Coturnix japonica: one gene and its partner. The protein of the gene in region 1 purifies or fractionates together with the protein of each later gene. This does not show direct contact. Links are inferred from orthologs where the notes say so. Each region holds a gene or a part of one and is shown in the gene's direction. Other genes may lie near its edges.

Region 1 (4,224 bases):
AGTATAAAGTGATCTATAAATGTGTAATAAATGTTTTATAATGTTTTTGCAACACGTTATAAATGATAAATGAGTGACTATATATGCCATATAAAATATGCATGCTGCATTGTGTGCATTATTATGCCGTTACTGTTCAGGAAACCATTAATAATAAAGTGAATGGAGATGTAAAAGTTGCTGACATGCCCAGCAAGCCATTTATAATGAAATGTATAATCCTTACCATAAAGTAAATACATTGGCCAGTGATTGTTGATGAAATGGAAACACGCTGAATTATTTGTAAGGTATTTATATATTAATGTATATTATCCATATCATGTCATGAAAACACCATCAATATATTAGAGTATATGTATTATTAATTATTTTTTACCTGATTTATAGGCAGCTCCTAAAGCGTTACCTTGTCTCTTCCGCAGCCACGTGTGACTCAGTCTGGTGACTTATGATTTGGATGTGGGTGATGGTATAAACTCACTGTGGTGCTTCTTCCCCCAGCTGTGCCACCTGTGCAGGCCTGGAGCTGCGTCTCCACAGCCTCAATTCAGCCACACTGAGGTCATCATAGGCTTTCCTTGCACTTGTGTTTTGTGCTCTGAGCTGGAAGGAATGGACCCTTTGGGGCCACCTGGTCCCACTGTGTGCAGTGATACAGGGATACCACAGCTCCATCACACAGAATCACAGAATGACCCGGGTTGGAAGGGACCTCAAGGATCATGTAGTTCAAACCCCCTGCCTGGCAGGGCCACCAAACATACACATTTACTAGATCAGGTTGCCCATGGCCCCGTCCAACCTGGCCTTGAACACCTCCAAGGACGGGGCATCCACAACCTCCCTGGGCAGCCTGTTCCAGGGCCTAACCACTCTCCTAGTGAAGAACTTCCCCCTAACATCCAACCTAAATCTTCCTTCTTTTAACTTAAAACCATTTCCCCGTGTCCTGCTATTGTCAGCCCTTTTGGAGAGTTTCCTCCCCTCCTGGGAGTAAGTTCCCTTCAGGTATTGAAATCTGTTCCTTGAGCTCGGGTGTGTGAAGGGATGGGGCTCTAACTGCTCTGTGCGCCCCATCCCACCGCCTCACGGCTCTTAAAACGTTTTCCTTATACACTGCTATAGCTGCCCTCTTTTAGTCTGAACCATCCTATGGCCGGGATGTTCCTGAGCTGCAGCTCCAGCCCCCGCTACGTCCGCCCATTGGTTTCACACAGTGCGGATCCCGGCCCATCTGCCCGCGTTCTCTCCACACAGCGAGGCCGTGCGTAAACCGGTACCAGACGGGCGGCCTGCTCGGCCCTGACACCACATGAAAACGCTATGAGTGTAACAGAACTGCCCTTATCCGTGTGCCCCGCACGGCGGCTGAGGCGGGCCCGGCTGTGGGCGGCCGTGAGGTACCGCCGGCTCCCGCCCCTTTCCCCGCCTCCTCCTCCCTCCGTCCGCCTCACGCCCGCGGCTCCCGCAGGCGGCACGGCCCGGGGCTGCGCTATGGCTGCCATCCAGAACCTGCAGCTGTGGTGCAAGCAGCAATGCGAGGGTTACCGAGATGTCAGCATCACCAACATGACCACCTCGTTCCGCGACGGGTTGGCGTTCTGCGCCATCCTGCACCGCCACCGACCCGACCTCATGTGAGTACCGGCACAGCCCGGCCCTCAGCCGCTCCGTTAGCTCCGATGTTGAGTCTGCTTTCCCTCCTTCCCTCCTCCTGCAGGGAGCTGTGGCTGTCAGATAAACCTGCACAACATCTTTAGGCATCGCTTTGGGGTTTCGTTCATCGCTGTCTGTGTTGGTGGGGCGGTGCGTCCTCCCATCCCGTACATTGCAGCTCTATCGCTGCGTTCCCGTGCACGGTTCTGCCCCTTTGCTTCTTTCTTTGCTGTCATCCCGTGGTTTTTGACCTGCCCCTGCCCCAAACGTAACGCCCGGCTATGAGAATTGTTAAAGGAAACTGAAAATTAACTAGGGATTGTCCTAGGTTTGGTCTTTTTTAGAAGGAATTCTGGGCTCGTTGCACTTTGTTGCGGGGGATTGAGGAGGGAGCAGGCAGTGGAATAGCACAGGCCAGGTGTGTTGGTTTAAGCATTAGGTCATTCCCAGTGAGACGTGGCTGATGGGGTGTGTGTTCTTTACTGGAGTTTTCCGATTGTTTCTTGAGTTCTGCCTTCCCTTGGTTTCCCAATGCAGCCCGGCACCTCTTTATGTGTAGAGATCCTTTATAGGTGTCTCAGTGCTGATGGAAGCCCAAGGACAAGCTGTCGTTTAGCACTCACTCCTCTCCATAGCTTTGAAACTTAGAAGGGGCTGGAGCAGCCTTGAGAGCAGCAGGAACTATTACACGCCTGCTCTGCCATTCCCTGGGCTGTCACCATGGTGTTGCTGTGTGTGGCTTCCTGATGTGCTGTCACATCCACGTGGCTCCAGATATTTCCCTTCCTTCCATTCATTCACTGTCCCAAAGGTAGGAAATATCAGAGCAGAAAGGCTGACGTGATGGGAGGTGCTCACGGACTGGCCTGGGGCTGCTTCCTGGCCAGCTCTGCTGCCAGCCCATCTGGAGTGTGAGTGTGAGCAGGGCTCAGCATCTGGGAACTGGGACCCCTTTAGTGGGTTGTTACAGTCCTAGAAGTGTGTGCTGGGGTTGTGGATAGATGTATGTAAAGTAAATGTTTCTGTGTTGGAGAGGGGAAAGGATCCCTGCAGCATCTTTGTTCCTGCTGAACTTATCTTGTGCTGGAAATCCTACAGGACTTTGCAAAAACCCTTTTTGACTTGGACCAGCTCAACAAGGCTGCCTGGGGGTGAAAGTGAGAGAAGCTTTCGGTATGACTTCCCTCCTCAGCGTCAGTGGTGCAATGTAGGAAATCACCAGGTATACCCTTGCCTGGACAAAGTCCTGCTGCAAGTAAATTATACTTTCAAATAGTCGTCATTTCAGGCCGTCACGTGTAACTCAGCTCCCAGGGCTGAGTATTCGTGCAGCTTCCTTGTGAATCTATAAAAGCCCTTGTGGCAGTTTGGCAGCTGGGTGTACGTGTGGCTGTGATTTTTGCTTCCTGGGGGCTCAAACTGGTTTATCCTGAGCTCCTCCTCTTGTTCTTAGAAAAGCTGAGGATTAAACACATCACACTGAAAAGAAAACCAGAATTGAGTAACTGGTGTTAGCAGTGGCGGTGTGTTTGCTGCAGCCCTTGTATATAAATTGCTTGCAGGACATGATTCAGTCACAGCAGCAGTTTTGTAACAGTGTGTTTTCCGTCTTGGTTTACATTCCTGGGCTGAAGAGTGCATGATATGGAGAGGTGATTTCTCCTTGAAAGAGCCTGAGGAGTTCATAGGAAAACTTGAAGCAATTACAAATTGTGGTAATAATCATGTGCTTCTCTTGTGGGTTCCATGGGTCAGAGGGCAGGTTGGTGCAGGGCTCTTCCCTGTTCTTGTTTTCTTGCCAGGAAACATACGGACAACATGATAATTCCTCTCAGACTTAACCAGTTCTGTGTGTTATCAGTGAGCAGGACAGGCTGTGTAAAATAAGAAACCCATTTCCAATTCACTTCCCACTCACCCAGGGATGCACAGACAGGCTGAGCTCTGTGGGAGCAGAGGCACACACTGAATTACCATGGAAATCTGTTTCTCCTTCATCCCAGCTGAAGTGTGTGTGGTACCCAGCCATGGGTGTGAGCCCATTCTGGGATGGTGGCAGAGCATTAAAGTCCCTGTGGTCAGAGGGAGCACAGCCTCACAGTGGTGTGCCCTGCTCTGCAGCCAGCTCTGGCTGGAGGTTTCTCTGCTCCCCATCCGATAAGTGAGTTAAAAGCAGCAGGGGAGCCGCCCACACTCTCTCTGTTATTGATGCCAGATGTTGAATAAAGGTTTTGATTAAGCTCCTTCATCCTGGATCCTGCTCGTTCCCAGAGTGCTGGCAGCGTTCTGGGAATGGGATGGTTGTGAAATTCCCCTTGACAGCTGTGCACTTGGGCATGCATGTTTGGTGGCCAGAACAGAGCAGCTGTGTGCACCCGTTCCTCCAGCAGCATTTTCTGGGTCGCTGTCAGCTAAGCCAGGCAGGATGAGGCTGTGAGCTGCCAATGTGGCCAGGCAGTTGATAGCCTCTGGACTTTTCCTACTTGGTGAAGGCTCTGAGTGTGCAAAGCATCAGCACAGAGGAAGCACATGTAATTGCAGAGGACTTTGTGAGCATGCAGTGGG
Region 2 (4,031 bases), on another chromosome or scaffold:
ACGAAATTACACATTCCTTTTCAAATGGGTTTTGTATTCTGCTGGGGAAGGACAGCCAGGTGCCGGCTGTCCGGGCGGGCCGTGCAGGGCTGGTGCTGCCTCATGGCCAGGGAAGAATTGCTCTGGAAGGGGTTCTCTATCAAATCCTTGTGAACAATGAACTTTTGTTGGGCCAGCTCACAAGCTTAGAATCGTAAGACCCATTTCAATCAGTAACAAAGTCGTGATGCTCTTTAGCCCGATGGCTGAGAAATAACTGAGATCTGTAGATGAAGTGTCTGACGTGGCAGCTGCCCATATTTCTGTATTTCTGCTTCCGCACTGCTGCTCCATCATAGCTCTGTTTTCTTTTGTATCCCCCTCCAACTGCTCTGGTTGCTGCCTTCTGCCTGTCCTCGTGCCCTCTGCTGTCCGCCTCTCCCCCTGCGCTGTTCTCTGTGCCTCTGCCTGGTAGATGAGCTGTATGCTCAGAAACTGAAGTACAAAGCAATCAGCGAGGAGCTGGACCACGCGCTCAATGACATGACCTCCCTGTAGTCTGCACCTCTCGGTGCTCCGTTTGCTGTATCTCTTATGCTCTTCTTGCCTGTAATTCCTTCTGTGCTAAAAGCGATCCATCCTTCAGCCTGCTCTGTAAGAACTGCGCTCAATAAAGATCAGATGCCTTTACCTGTCCGCTTTGGGGCTTTGTTTCCTTATCAGTACTGACGCTGTAAGTACCGCTCGGTGCTCAGCGGGGGGCGCCGGGCAGCTCCGAAAAACCGGAGCAACCGCAAACCCGACAGCGCTGTTGTTTCCGGCGCATCGGGCGGTGTTTGTACGGCACAGCAGCGCAGCACTGTCCGCTTTACGCCTTTTTTTTGCTCCCTTCCTCCAGACAAACTCGCTCAAGCGAAGGAGGAGAACCTGGGGCTGCACCAGACGCTGGACCAGACACTAAACGAACTGAACTGTATATGACCCGGGGAACGCCGCGGCCGGAAGACGAAACCCGCCCTCATCGCGTCACCGCTGCGCTCTGCCGCCGCTCGTCCCGGTTCCGCTCATCCCGGACGTGGCGTCGCGCATTAAACGTGTTACACGTGTTCCGCCATTCCCGCCGCTCCGCTCCTTGCGCCGCGCCGCCTCTCGGTGACGTCACGAGCCGACAGGCCACGTGACGCTGCCCGCGCGCCCCGTCCCCTCCCTCCGGCTTCTACTCGCGCGGAGACGGGCGCCTTCCGCTCGCGGCCGGAAGTGACGTTGCGCCGGGAGCGCGCGGCCAATCGCGGTGCCGCTTACGTCGCGAGCGGAGTCCAATGGCGCGGCGGCTCGAGGTCCCGCCCACCGGGTCGGCGGTGACGTAACGCTCCGCTCGGCCAATCGCCGCGCTGCGGGCCGTGATGGGCGGCGGGCGCGGCCTGTGAGGCGGCGCGGGGGGCGGGCGGTGCCGCAGGGGCGGCGCCCGGGAACATGGCGAAGACGTACGACTACCTGTTCAAGCTGCTGCTCATCGGCGACTCGGGCGTGGGCAAGACCTGCGTGCTCTTCCGCTTCTCCGAGGATGCGTTCAACGCCACCTTCATCTCCACCATCGGTGCGCGGGGCGGCCGGGGCTGCACACAGCGCGGGGGGCGCTGCGGGCCGGGACGGGGCTGTGCCGTGCCGTGCCGTGCCGCGCCGCGGTGCCGTCGGGCCGTGCGGTGCCGTAGTGCAGTGCAGTGTGGTGCCGTCGGTCGGTGCGGTGCTGTCTGTGTGGCGGTGCTGTCTGTGTGGCGGTGCTGTCGGGCGGTGCGTTGCGGGCCTTGTCGCTGCGCTCGGTTCGGGTCCGATCCCGCGGGGCGCTGCGGGCGCTGAGCCGCGGTTCCGTCCCGGCCGTGGGGACGCTGTGCGGCACAGTCTGGTCGGGGGGAAGCGGAGGGAAAAGCGTTGGTTTGTCCTCTGTAGAAGTTAAATGTAATGAGTTGTTTGTCGTTGCAGGCATTGACTTTAAGATCAGGACTATAGAGCTCGATGGCAAGAGGATCAAGCTGCAGATATGGTGAGGCTCGTTGATGCAGTCGGTGCTGCAGTGCAGTGCTGTTACTTTGTGTGCAGTTGTGCTCTTCAGCGGTATCATTAAACTAAAGCAGTTTTAGTGCACGTGAAGACCAACGTGTGACATGAATGTCTGACAGCATTAAGGTGGGAGGTGTGTGACCCCTCGTTCCATCTGTTGCAGGGACACCGCCGGGCAGGAGCGATTCCGCACCATCACGACGGCGTACTACAGGGGAGCCATGGTAGGAGCGCGGCGCAGGGCGGTTCGGCTCCCAGCAGAGCAGTATCAGAGCAGCCTGCAGTGCTGCAGGCACAGCTGCCTGGACTTGGCTGAGCGCCGGCGCTGTGCTGGGTGCTGGGAGGGCCCGGGGCAGACGGCTGCAGTGACTCACTGAGCTCACACCCCATCATTGCATCTGGCAACACGCGCTGACGTTCCGGGTTGTGCTGAAACAGCTCTTCTTTATCAGTCCTTAAGGCACTCCTTTCTGTTACAGACAGGTTTAACTGTTGCATATATGATCATAGCCAAAACAAGTATCTCTCCTTCCTCCTCAGGGCATTATGTTGGTCTATGACATCACCAATGAAAAGTCTTTTGAAAATATTCGGAACTGGGTCAGGAACATTGAAGAGGTAACTTCTCTTTACTTGACATTCAAGGTGCTGTTTCTCCCTCCAAAAGCAGTTGGAAATTAAATGCTTCAGTAACACTTCTTTCAAATTTAGAGTGGGTAGAAAATAGATTAAATGAAAGTCAGGGAATGCTGTGGGTAACAAATTTGCAGTGTGTGCTTTTGATTTGATTTTCCTGGCACAGAGCTGATGGTTCACAGGGCGCTCACAGAGCAGTCGGTGCCTGCAGTGCAGTGCTGGGATCAGGTGCTGTGCAGGAGCTCAGAAACCTACAGAGTGCTCAGCACCCATGTATCCATTTGAAGTTCTTGATGGAAACCTCGTCATTTGGCAGTATTTGTAAGACATAAACACAGTCCTTTCTTTCCTCTGTTCCTATCTCAGCATGCCTCTCCGGACGTTGAAAAAATGATCCTTGGGAACAAATGTGATGCAAATGACAAAAGACAAGTTTCTAGAGAGCAAGGGGAGAAGGTAAGTGTCACGGGCTGCGCCCAGATGCTGAAGGTGAAGGCAGTACGTAGAAGTCAGTGCTCCCTGGGGTGATCAGTGTCTGCAGAGCCTGCTGAGCTCCTTCCTGCCAGCACTGATGCAAAGTGCAGTTGCTGCCTGAGCAGAAGCAGCCTGTGCTGCAGTGTAACAGCAGCGCTCATCGTTGTGTGTGCCTCCTCAGTGGAACTTCTGAGTGCAGCTACCGAACGCTTCCCAAGCTGTAGCTGCAGTCCAACAAAAAGATGAGTCTGTTCAGAATGCAGCTGGGTTACCTGGTTGAGATGTTAGATGCGGAGTAACTGAGTTCTCAGCCAAAGAAAGAAAATCATTTAGGAATGGCTGCTTTTGTCATACACAGGTAGGCAGGGTTGTTGTTTCTGGCATCGGATGTCAGTTAAAGTAGAGAATGTACTTTTATGTACCACAGACGTTACAGAACTGACAAGGTATCTGTTAGAAATAGATGTATGTATTTAAAGACAAAGGAGCAGACAAAAATGTGTGTTTTGTTCTATGAAAAAGAAGAACAAAGTCCAGTAAGAACAGATGCTGATAGCAATGCAGCTCAGTTCCTGGTTTGTGGAGGAGATCCCGCGCTGTCTGTTATGTTTATGGCTGTTCCTGCAGCCACCCGACTAACACAGAACCTGCTTTTGTTCAGCTTGCAGCGAGTTTTGGAATTAAATTCATGGAGACCAGTGCAAAAGCAAATATAAACATAGAGAATGTAAGTACTGCGACCTTTCTCTTGTATTTATTGTCTTATAACGCGTGAAGATAAGCTGTAAGAACAGTTGCCCATCCTGACTGAGTGCAGAACTCAACTGCTGATACTTCATATGGGCTGTTACAGTCAGAAGGGCAGATTATTGTTAAACAAAGCT

What was found. The genes of interacting proteins can lie anywhere in the genome.
Region 2: the proteins of MICALL2 (region 1) and RAB8A purify together in Homo sapiens (co-immunoprecipitation; 3 studies listed by BioGRID and IntAct, with this or other methods). This does not show direct contact. The link is inferred for Coturnix japonica from reciprocal best matches to the Homo sapiens genes MICALL2 and RAB8A.

Annotation. Positions count from the first base shown.
Region 1 is NC_029529.1:2,641,215-2,645,438, reverse strand, and holds the start of MICALL2 (MICAL-like protein 2), read left to right. Parts: upstream 1-1,420; 5' UTR 1,421-1,497; coding exon 1,498-1,640; intron 1,641-4,224. UniProt on the Homo sapiens protein: Effector of small Rab GTPases which is involved in junctional complexes assembly through the regulation of cell adhesion molecules transport to the plasma membrane and actin cytoskeleton reorganization.
Region 2 is NC_029543.1:3,483,455-3,487,485, reverse strand, and holds the start of RAB8A (ras-related protein Rab-8A), read left to right. Parts: upstream 1-1,222; 5' UTR 1,223-1,452; coding exon 1,453-1,576; intron 1,577-1,959; coding exon 1,960-2,020; intron 2,021-2,200; coding exon 2,201-2,261; intron 2,262-2,577; coding exon 2,578-2,655; intron 2,656-3,039; coding exon 3,040-3,129; intron 3,130-3,808; coding exon 3,809-3,874; intron 3,875-4,031. Other genes in the region: TPM4 (tropomyosin alpha-4 chain), read left to right, coding at 455-537. UniProt on the Homo sapiens protein: The small GTPases Rab are key regulators of intracellular membrane trafficking, from the formation of transport vesicles to their fusion with membranes.